2 linked regions of the Saccharomyces cerevisiae S288C genome follow. The protein of the gene in region 2 purifies or fractionates together with the protein of the main gene of each other region. This does not show direct contact. Each region holds a gene or a part of one and is shown on either strand. Other genes may lie near its edges.

The links. Proteins that work in one complex are often made in the same cells at the same time.
Region 1: the proteins of YRA1 (region 2) and CBC2 purify together in Saccharomyces cerevisiae (affinity purification with western blotting; 7 studies listed by BioGRID, with this or other methods). This does not show direct contact.

The regions. Positions count from the first base shown.
Region 1 is NC_001148.4:209,064-213,284, forward strand, and holds CBC2 (nuclear cap-binding protein subunit CBC2), read left to right. Parts: upstream 1-3,094; coding exon 3,095-3,721; downstream 3,722-4,221. Other genes in the region: PPQ1 (protein-serine/threonine phosphatase), read left to right, coding at 1-743; CUP9 (Cup9p), read right to left, coding at 3,979-4,221.
Region 2 is NC_001136.10:1,233,698-1,239,816, forward strand, and holds YRA1 (RNA-binding protein YRA1), read left to right. Parts: upstream 1-2,860; coding exon 2,861-3,145; intron 3,146-3,911; coding exon 3,912-4,307; downstream 4,308-6,119. Other genes in the region: phenylpyruvate decarboxylase ARO10, read left to right, coding at 521-2,428; COI1 (Coi1p), read right to left, coding at 4,615-4,933, 5,128-5,153; ribosomal protein P2 RPP2B, read left to right, coding at 5,795-6,119. UniProt on the Saccharomyces cerevisiae protein: RNA-binding RNA annealing protein. May have a role in pre-mRNA metabolism. Component the TREX complex, which operates in coupling transcription elongation to mRNA export.

The DNA of each region.
Region 1 (4,221 bases), on a different chromosome or scaffold from region 2:
ATGGACAATTTAATGATTTATTGAGAATTTTGAAGTTGTCTGGTGTGCCATCTGATACTAATTATCTGTTCTTGGGTGATTATGTGGACCGTGGTAAGAACTCATTGGAAACAATACTATTGTTATTATGTTACAAAATAAAGTACAAAGACAACTTTTTTATGTTAAGGGGTAATCACGAATCTGCTAATGTCACAAAGATGTACGGTTTCTATGATGAATGCAAAAGGCGATTGAGCTCGAAAGTATGGAAAATGTTCGTTGACGTATTTAATACTTTGCCATTAGCAGCAATTATTCAAGATAAGATCTTTTGCGTTCATGGAGGTATATCGCCCGATTTACATGACATGAAGCAAATCGAAAAAGTCGCAAGACCAACGGATATTCCTGAAAGCGGGCTGGTTACAGACTTACTGTGGAGTGACCCAGACCCTCAAGTAACTGATTGGTCAGAAAATGATCGTGGTGTTTCATACACATTTTCTAAGAGGAACGTTCTTGATTTTTGTGCTAAGTTTAAATTCGATTTAATACTTAGGGGACATATGGTCGTAGAAGATGGTTATGAATTCTTTGCCAGGAAAAAGTTTGTCACAATCTTTTCAGCACCAAATTATTGTGGAGAATTTCATAATTGGGGGGCAGTAATGAGCGTTACAACGGGTATGATGTGTAGCTTTGAACTGTTAAAGCCGCGTGCATTGAAAAATAAAAAGAAGTTATACAAAACCAAAGTGTAGCTGTTGCTAAGATTGGTTTTGCCTGGAAAGCACATTGGTTTTTAGGCCTCTTATCCTTCATTTGGAAACTTTTTGTCCTATGATTTGTTTTTTTCATTTTATTTTTCATTTTATTTTTCATTTTATTTTCATTTAGTTAACATTATTATGCAGTTATTTTTTTTTTTCCCACCTTCATGGCCTCGTTTATGTCTTTTATCAATATATTTTTTACGTTTATAAGTCATTTACTCGACTTTTTTTACCTTTGATATGCAATCATATTATTCTTCCCTCCATTATGGCTAAATAAATGATAATTATAATCTATAGTTTTCAAGCGTTCATATTTTGACAGATAAGATTATGCAACAACTTGGAAGGGCGGAAGGAAGCAAAAAGAAAACTCCGATACGGGGAGTCGAACCCCGGTCTCCACGGTGAAAGCGTGATGTGATAGCCGTTACACTATATCGGACAATAATTGGACAGAAAATTTTGTTAAAGTGTCAGCCTAATCGGCGTAATACGTATATATGTATATTATCTGCATATTATTACGATAATATACAACAAAACGGATTAAAACAATCGGTATATTTCAATTTGATATTTGGGATAAGGTAAAATAAAAACCGAAGATCAGTAAGCTCTTGTTACTTTTTTGTTGGAATAGAGGATCAAGAAGCATTTATTGCTAGTATCCAAATTATTAGTATATCATCATGTTTTCAAAAAAAAATGATGTAAAAATTGAGAAACAGTCACCAGTCATCATGAAAAGTGCACTGCAAGGATTAATAACGTAATAAAACAAGAACGACAGTACATAAACGAAAGAAGAGATAACTATATTATTGTATAGAATTATCGATTCTCTTTTAGAATTCTTTTATTCTCCAGGAAAACTACTTGTACATTCTGTTTAGCTAATATTGTAGCCTTTAACCACAATAAAATGCACTCCAAGTATAACCCAAAATTCATTGTTTTCAAATTTATATTAATGAGATATTGGTAACCTAAACATCAAAAATATTTTTACTCAAATTCTCTTTTCTGAAAACGCTGAAGGAAATGTGCAGGAAAAATGTTTGGCCATCAACTTTTATTCCTAGTACCACAACTAACGTCACATTCTATCGAGGCAAATGCTAATTGGCAACTAACACTATCTTAACGGTTTGATAATGTCAACACAAAATTCACCTATTATTACAAACGAATCTACCGGAAGTTGAAATGCCTGACAATAATCATACAATTGCATGAATAATTGCGAACAGATGGCAGCAAAGGATGAACTAATCATAATTATACATTGCCGCTGTAGGTTTCCTCCCATAAAAATCCAAATTTCCAAGAAAAAGTTCTTGTGTCTTCATACACTTAATATTGTTATCCTTCTTCAAGACCGGACTATATAAAGAAAAAATTTTGTAATGCTATTATATTTCAACTTCAAATTATTTTCTACTAGTAGACATAATGGAACTTCGCTCTCAGATAATCTATGGCGATAGATGGACAATTGACAATCTTCTGAAAGAATTTATATAATAAGATGTGACCATGACCTAAACCTGCTCACGCTCATGAAAGGATACAGGTAATTTGGCGAAACATTCCCAAGCTTCGCTGATAGACCTATCCCAGAAAGTGTCTGTTTAAAACTACAAGTATTTGCAGTTTTCGTTATCCAGTTTCGTTCAAGAGCATTAATGCACAAGCCACTTATATTATATAAATTTAAACTTTGGGAAAATATCATACACCTATTGTACCAGTAAATGTTGGAATAAAAATCAACTATCATCTACTAACTAGTATTTACGTTACTAGTATATTATCATATACGGTGTTAGAAGATGACACAAATGATGAGAAATAGTCATCTAAATTAGTGGAAGCTGAAACGCAAGGATTGATAATGTAATAGGATCAATGAATATTAACATATAAAATGATGATAATAATATTTATAGAATTGTGTAGAATTGCAGATTCCCTTTCATGGATTCCTAAATCCTTGAGGAGAACTTCTAGTATATCTATATACCTAATATTATAGCCTTAATCACAATGGAATCCCAACAATTACATCAAAATCCACATTGTCTACAGTAAAAGTATACCACTAATAGATTTGTAATTGGTGTATGAAGTAGTGTATGGTATAAACGTTAATAAGTGCTTATCAAAGTATTACCCGCTTTAACAGTTTTTGTGTTTTTTTCAAGAAAAATATTATATGTATGAATATAGAACATGAGTTTATATGGAGAAAGTGTCTCGACAGCTTTTAAAGTCCCGAAAGGACTAATATCGAATAAAAGTTGCATCCATTAATATACCAATAAATAAAGGGAAAGATGTCCCTGGAAGAATTTGACGAAGTTAAATATGATCATTCAACTAAACGCCTAGATACACCATCAAGGTACCTGCTGCGCAAGGCTAGAAGAAACCCTAACGGGCTACAAGAACTGCGTGAGTCGATGAAGTCATCCACAATTTATGTAGGAAATCTTTCCTTTTATACATCAGAAGAACAAATTTACGAATTATTCAGTAAATGTGGCACAATAAAAAGAATAATTATGGGTTTGGACCGTTTTAAGTTCACGCCATGTGGCTTCTGTTTTATTATATATAGTTGTCCAGATGAAGCATTGAATGCCTTAAAATATTTGTCCGATACAAAGTTAGACGAAAAGACAATTACCATTGATCTAGATCCTGGTTTTGAAGATGGAAGACAGTTTGGTCGTGGTAAGAGCGGTGGTCAAGTCAGCGATGAATTGAGGTTCGATTTTGATGCATCCAGAGGTGGCTTCGCCATTCCATTTGCAGAGCGTGTCGGCGTACCACATTCCAGATTTGATAACAGTAGCTCACAATCTAATACGAATAATTATATCCCTCCTCCTGATGCAATGGGTACTTTCAGACCAGGTTTCGATGAAGAAAGAGAAGATGATAACTACGTACCTCAGTAGAATCAATCAATTTATATCTGAGAAAGATTCTACACACAGATATATATATATATATATATATTATTGTATATATACATACCTACATTATTTTTAAAGGCTTGCATGATGCTGTTATGTAAAAAAAAAAAAAAAAAATCAGTGTAACATAATAGACGTAACACGTTCAATGACATGATAATACTATATATAGTAACGATAAAATGTAAATGGTAATAGATATAATTATATGAATATTTAAGTAATGCATTGATAAGTGATCAATTCATATCAGGGTTGGATAGCTTTTTCAATTCTTCCAGCCTATCAATTAGTTTTTTACGGCGTGTAACGGGGGCATGAGCAAATCTCTTGGATAATTCATAATCCGTGGAGCAGGTTGACGTAGCATCGTACATAGTATTATTTGTGGCAGATAATGTGTTATGATATGCTGAGACGTTTTGAACTCGTTCCACTGGGGTATTATTCGCGTTGTCATTAGGAATTGAGTTTACCAGGGT
Region 2 (6,119 bases):
CGTACAACAACGTCTTAGCGAAAAAGATAATCCAAAATTCGATGCTTGTACACCTCATGTAGCTTCCTTATTAACATTTGGTAGTAGGCTTAGGCTATTTTTTGAAAAAGCCGTCATATATTACTTTGAGCCTTTGCGAATCCTCTCCAAAGTGTCGGTTACCTACCGGGAGGGATAACCGCGGATAGCCGTCATTTACCGAAAATTGCCGAGGTCATGCTGAGCATTTGTCGTACTTTTGTGCGGCGGAGCTTTGATACCTTCGGTAAGTGTCGGTATGTAATAGGTTAGTGGCATCTTATTTATTGTGTTGAGTAAAGTTTAAGATATAAACTGGGCTAGTTTGCATCGTCACTACAGCGGCAGCTCACTTTCATTTTTTTTCTGCGTTTATTAATACTACATAAAATCTGATATAAAACATATTTAACTGATCAACCCTCTCAACTTGATACTCAAAACAAGTTGACGCGACTTCTGTAAAGTTTATTTACAAGATAACAAAGAAACTCCCTTAAGCATGGCACCTGTTACAATTGAAAAGTTCGTAAATCAAGAAGAACGACACCTTGTTTCCAACCGATCAGCAACAATTCCGTTTGGTGAATACATATTTAAAAGATTGTTGTCCATCGATACGAAATCAGTTTTCGGTGTTCCTGGTGACTTCAACTTATCTCTATTAGAATATCTCTATTCACCTAGTGTTGAATCAGCTGGCCTAAGATGGGTCGGCACGTGTAATGAACTGAACGCCGCTTATGCGGCCGACGGATATTCCCGTTACTCTAATAAGATTGGCTGTTTAATAACCACGTATGGCGTTGGTGAATTAAGCGCCTTGAACGGTATAGCCGGTTCGTTCGCTGAAAATGTCAAAGTTTTGCACATTGTTGGTGTGGCCAAGTCCATAGATTCGCGTTCAAGTAACTTTAGTGATCGGAACCTACATCATTTGGTCCCACAGCTACATGATTCAAATTTTAAAGGGCCAAATCATAAAGTATATCATGATATGGTAAAAGATAGAGTCGCTTGCTCGGTAGCCTACTTGGAGGATATTGAAACTGCATGTGACCAAGTCGATAATGTTATCCGCGATATTTACAAGTATTCTAAACCTGGTTATATTTTTGTTCCTGCAGATTTTGCGGATATGTCTGTTACATGTGATAATTTGGTTAATGTTCCACGTATATCTCAACAAGATTGTATAGTATACCCTTCTGAAAACCAATTGTCTGACATAATCAACAAGATTACTAGTTGGATATATTCCAGTAAAACACCTGCGATCCTTGGAGACGTACTGACTGATAGGTATGGTGTGAGTAACTTTTTGAACAAGCTTATCTGCAAAACTGGGATTTGGAATTTTTCCACTGTTATGGGAAAATCTGTAATTGATGAGTCAAACCCAACTTATATGGGTCAATATAATGGTAAAGAAGGTTTAAAACAAGTCTATGAACATTTTGAACTGTGCGACTTGGTCTTGCATTTTGGAGTCGACATCAATGAAATTAATAATGGGCATTATACTTTTACTTATAAACCAAATGCTAAAATCATTCAATTTCATCCGAATTATATTCGCCTTGTGGACACTAGGCAGGGCAATGAGCAAATGTTCAAAGGAATCAATTTTGCCCCTATTTTAAAAGAACTATACAAGCGCATTGACGTTTCTAAACTTTCTTTGCAATATGATTCAAATGTAACTCAATATACGAACGAAACAATGCGGTTAGAAGATCCTACCAATGGACAATCAAGCATTATTACACAAGTTCACTTACAAAAGACGATGCCTAAATTTTTGAACCCTGGTGATGTTGTCGTTTGTGAAACAGGCTCTTTTCAATTCTCTGTTCGTGATTTCGCGTTTCCTTCGCAATTAAAATATATATCGCAAGGATTTTTCCTTTCCATTGGCATGGCCCTTCCTGCCGCCCTAGGTGTTGGAATTGCCATGCAAGACCACTCAAACGCTCACATCAATGGTGGCAACGTAAAAGAGGACTATAAGCCAAGATTAATTTTGTTTGAAGGTGACGGTGCAGCACAGATGACAATCCAAGAACTGAGCACCATTCTGAAGTGCAATATTCCACTAGAAGTTATCATTTGGAACAATAACGGCTACACTATTGAAAGAGCCATCATGGGCCCTACCAGGTCGTATAACGACGTTATGTCTTGGAAATGGACCAAACTATTTGAAGCATTCGGAGACTTCGACGGAAAGTATACTAATAGCACTCTCATTCAATGTCCCTCTAAATTAGCACTGAAATTGGAGGAGCTTAAGAATTCAAACAAAAGAAGCGGGATAGAACTTTTAGAAGTCAAATTAGGCGAATTGGATTTCCCCGAACAGCTAAAGTGCATGGTTGAAGCAGCGGCACTTAAAAGAAATAAAAAATAGAAACTTGTGGGCGCAATTATAAAACACTGCTACCAATTGTTCGTTTTCTGTTCATTAACACATAAAAAACCCTTATGTAACTATATTTACAAAGTAAATACGTATATTAAAGCTATTTTACCACTACCACAGAGTTCTTTGTCCAGTTGCTAGTATTTTTTTTTTCGCGACGAGGCAGGGGCGGGGAGACGTGTTGTTTTTCCACGGCTTTCGGCTCACCACTTGAAGAACTATAAAAGGCCGCCAAATTTATCCTTTTTCACTTCTTCCGTTCGCTTTTTTCTGTCATTCCTATCGTGTGTTTAGTAGTAGGTTTTTTTGTTAGAAGAAGTTTTATCCGAAAACTATCGAAGACAAATAGATAAAAAAATCTCCCTCGTTCTATTTGAAACTTTAAGAAATCCATATTAAGAAAATACCTACATCTGCTAAATGTCTGCTAACTTAGATAAATCCTTAGACGAAATCATTGGCTCTAACAAAGCAGGAAGTAATAGAGCCCGTGTCGGTGGTACTCGTGGTAACGGTCCAAGAAGAGTTGGTAAGCAAGTTGGTAGCCAACGTAGGAGCCTTCCAAACAGAAGAGGCCCTATCAGAAAAAATACTAGGGCACCTCCAAACGCAGTCGCTAGAGTTGCCAAGCTCTTGGACACCACTAGAGAGGTCAAGGTCAACGTCGAAGGTTTGCCAAGGGACATTAAGCAGGATGCTGTAAGAGTATGTTAATACGTGAAATGAGAGCTATTTGTTTAGTTACTCGCATCGTCTCGTGTGGATACGAGAAATATTCTTTGTAAGGAAGGATATGGCACACGCTTTTGATCAAGAATTCTCTTTTTAGAGATGAAGAAAGAGTCCGAAATACTTCGCTAGAGAAAATACAAAAAGAGTATCGTTTTCATAAGCCAACCATACCAATTTTTTTCAATACTTCAAATCATGGCCTATAAGGTTGGAATTACCAGCTACCACTGAGAATGGGTTTGTTCTTATTGGCTGGGTTAACTCAAATCAATCTGACTATCTGCTAATCTGTCAATCTTACATTTTTAAGCTGGCGTATTGTGTCGCCTCGACCGTGATAGTTAGTTCCTATTTTTAATAAGCGTATCATCCAATACTGAAGTTGTGGAAGGATCAATTAATTTTGTATCCTTTCAAGAGGGAGTAGCTTTCAGTTTCGAATGGCACCATTTTCAAAAAATAGCTATGGGAAACATGTCTTTCATGAACGTTCGAAAAGATATGAGTGCATCGCTTCATTTTTTTATTATGATAGTTACAAAAATATTTGATTTGAGACACCTAATGAAACCAAAGAGGAACTCACCCATCGTGGTACATGTTTATTTGAGGGTTTATTTTTCCTACGCAATGGTATACTTTTAATACTCTCAACTCCTTGATTGTTTGTGTATTGTCCCTTCCTTCTTTGATTTTATATCATAGAGATATATGACTAACTTTTTTTTTTTTATTATAGGAATTTTTTGCATCTCAAGTAGGTGGTGTTCAAAGAGTTTTGTTGAGTTATAACGAAAGGGGCCAATCTACTGGTATGGCTAACATCACATTCAAAAACGGTGAATTGGCCAGAAGGGCTGTTGAAAGATTTAACGGCTCTCCAATCGATGGAGGCAGATCAAGATTGAGACTTAACCTAATCGTTGATCCAAACCAACGCCCAGTCAAAAGTTTAGCCGACAGGATCAAGGCTATGCCACAAAAAGGCGGAAACGCTCCAAGACCAGTAAAGAGGGGTCCAAATAGAAAAGCTGCTATGGCAAAATCCCAAAACAAACCAAAGAGAGAAAAGCCTGCTAAGAAAAGTCTTGAAGATCTGGACAAGGAAATGGCGGACTATTTCGAAAAGAAATAATTAATTGTCAATTTTTTGTTTGATTTAATTTGGTTTTATTAAATTTAATTTTTCCGAGTTTCATTATGTATTAGTTTCCAGAAAATTTAAAGGATTAAAAAATGTATTAATAAAACTTTGATATGTTTATGTAATAATATTTACCACCGCCACTAGGTGACGCTAACCTACTCATCGGTGACGGCTTTTCTCACTTTTAAAGTTTATTCGGCATATTTGACTCATAATATGTCACTATTTACAGTGCGATGAATATATATATACATAATACTGCATTGAAAAAATGGATAGGTTGATTAAACGTGTGTTACTCGTTTCTCCTCCTATCTAAAAAACCTAATTTGTCACCTCTTTTTCTTGTTACAGCACTAAGCCCGCTACCTTCATATTTACTCTTTCTTACTAATTGATGGTCCTCAGAGCAATCAATGTTGTCTCCTCCATCTTTAGGTATGGGGAACCCTGGTTTGACTTGAGCAAGGTTATCATAATAGTTTTTTTCATTCACTTCACCATTGTTTCCCCGCGCCTTTGGTATAAATTTAGCATCTCTTCTAGCTTTCACTATGGTCTTGACCACATAAATAGACGCAATCCCGGCTGCAGAAATGTATAGTAAATTCTTACTGTTGAAATCGCATTGGTAGTGTTTTCCTACTTTCGTCTTCACTTTGGTTATATATATGGTGCAATCAAACTCTGCTTCAAGGGATAGGCCAATAAGGAAATAACCAAAAAAGAAGTCCGGGAAATAGAAAAAGATATCCAATGTTAGTTTAGGCTTTACGAATAGATGTTTCCCTATTTCTTTTACACATACCCTATATTTTGAAATGGATTTGACATTGTATACTTAGTACGGCTCAAAGAATGAAATATTACTATATTTATCTCTTCATCTGCCTTGATTTTTTTATATGCAAGCAGGACGCTCGGGTTTGTAAGGAGGAAGATTGAAAAGGATGTCTTCAACTAAAAGGCGAAGAAGGAAGCGACACATTTGTGATGCTTTGAGGTCAGTAATGTAATATATATATATATATATATATATATATATTATATAGTGTAACTGCTCTTATTTATCTTGTCTATTCGAACCCAACAAAAAAGGCTGCAGTGGGAATCTGTTCATGTGGCTGTATCACAACCAAGGGCTACCGTTTAAGAATACTGGAGAGCTCTTGTCGTCTCTAATTTTATGATCACGTGCCCATTCTAGTCATTACGCAGGTAATGCGAAAATTACAGTATGGATCGTGTAAAGTTACCAAGCAGAAAAATTGTAATAATTTTCTTTTTCCAAATTTTCTCGGTATCTGAAATTTTTCATTTAAGAGATGATATTTGGACTTACTCTAAACTATTACTTTACGTATCTTTGATTTAACTTCCAGTTACAGATCGTTAAGGAATAGTCCGCGAATTTATTACCGCTTAAACTGATTATTTCAAATATAGAAAGTAATATCTATTAATCAACAACAGAAATGAAATACTTAGCTGCTTACTTATTATTGGTTCAAGGTGGTAACGCTGCCCCATCCGCCGCTGACATCAAGGCCGTCGTCGAATCTGTCGGTGCTGAAGTCGATGAAGCCAGAATCAACGAATTGTTGTCCTCTTTGGAAGGTAAGGGCTCTTTGGAAGAAATCATCGCTGAAGGTCAAAAGAAGTTCGCTACTGTTCCAACTGGTGGTGCTTCTTCTGCTGCTGCCGGTGCTGCCGGTGCTGCTGCCGGTGGTGATGCTGCTGAAGAAGAAAAGGAAGAAGAAGCTAAGGAAGAATCTGATGATGACATGGGTTTTGGTTTAT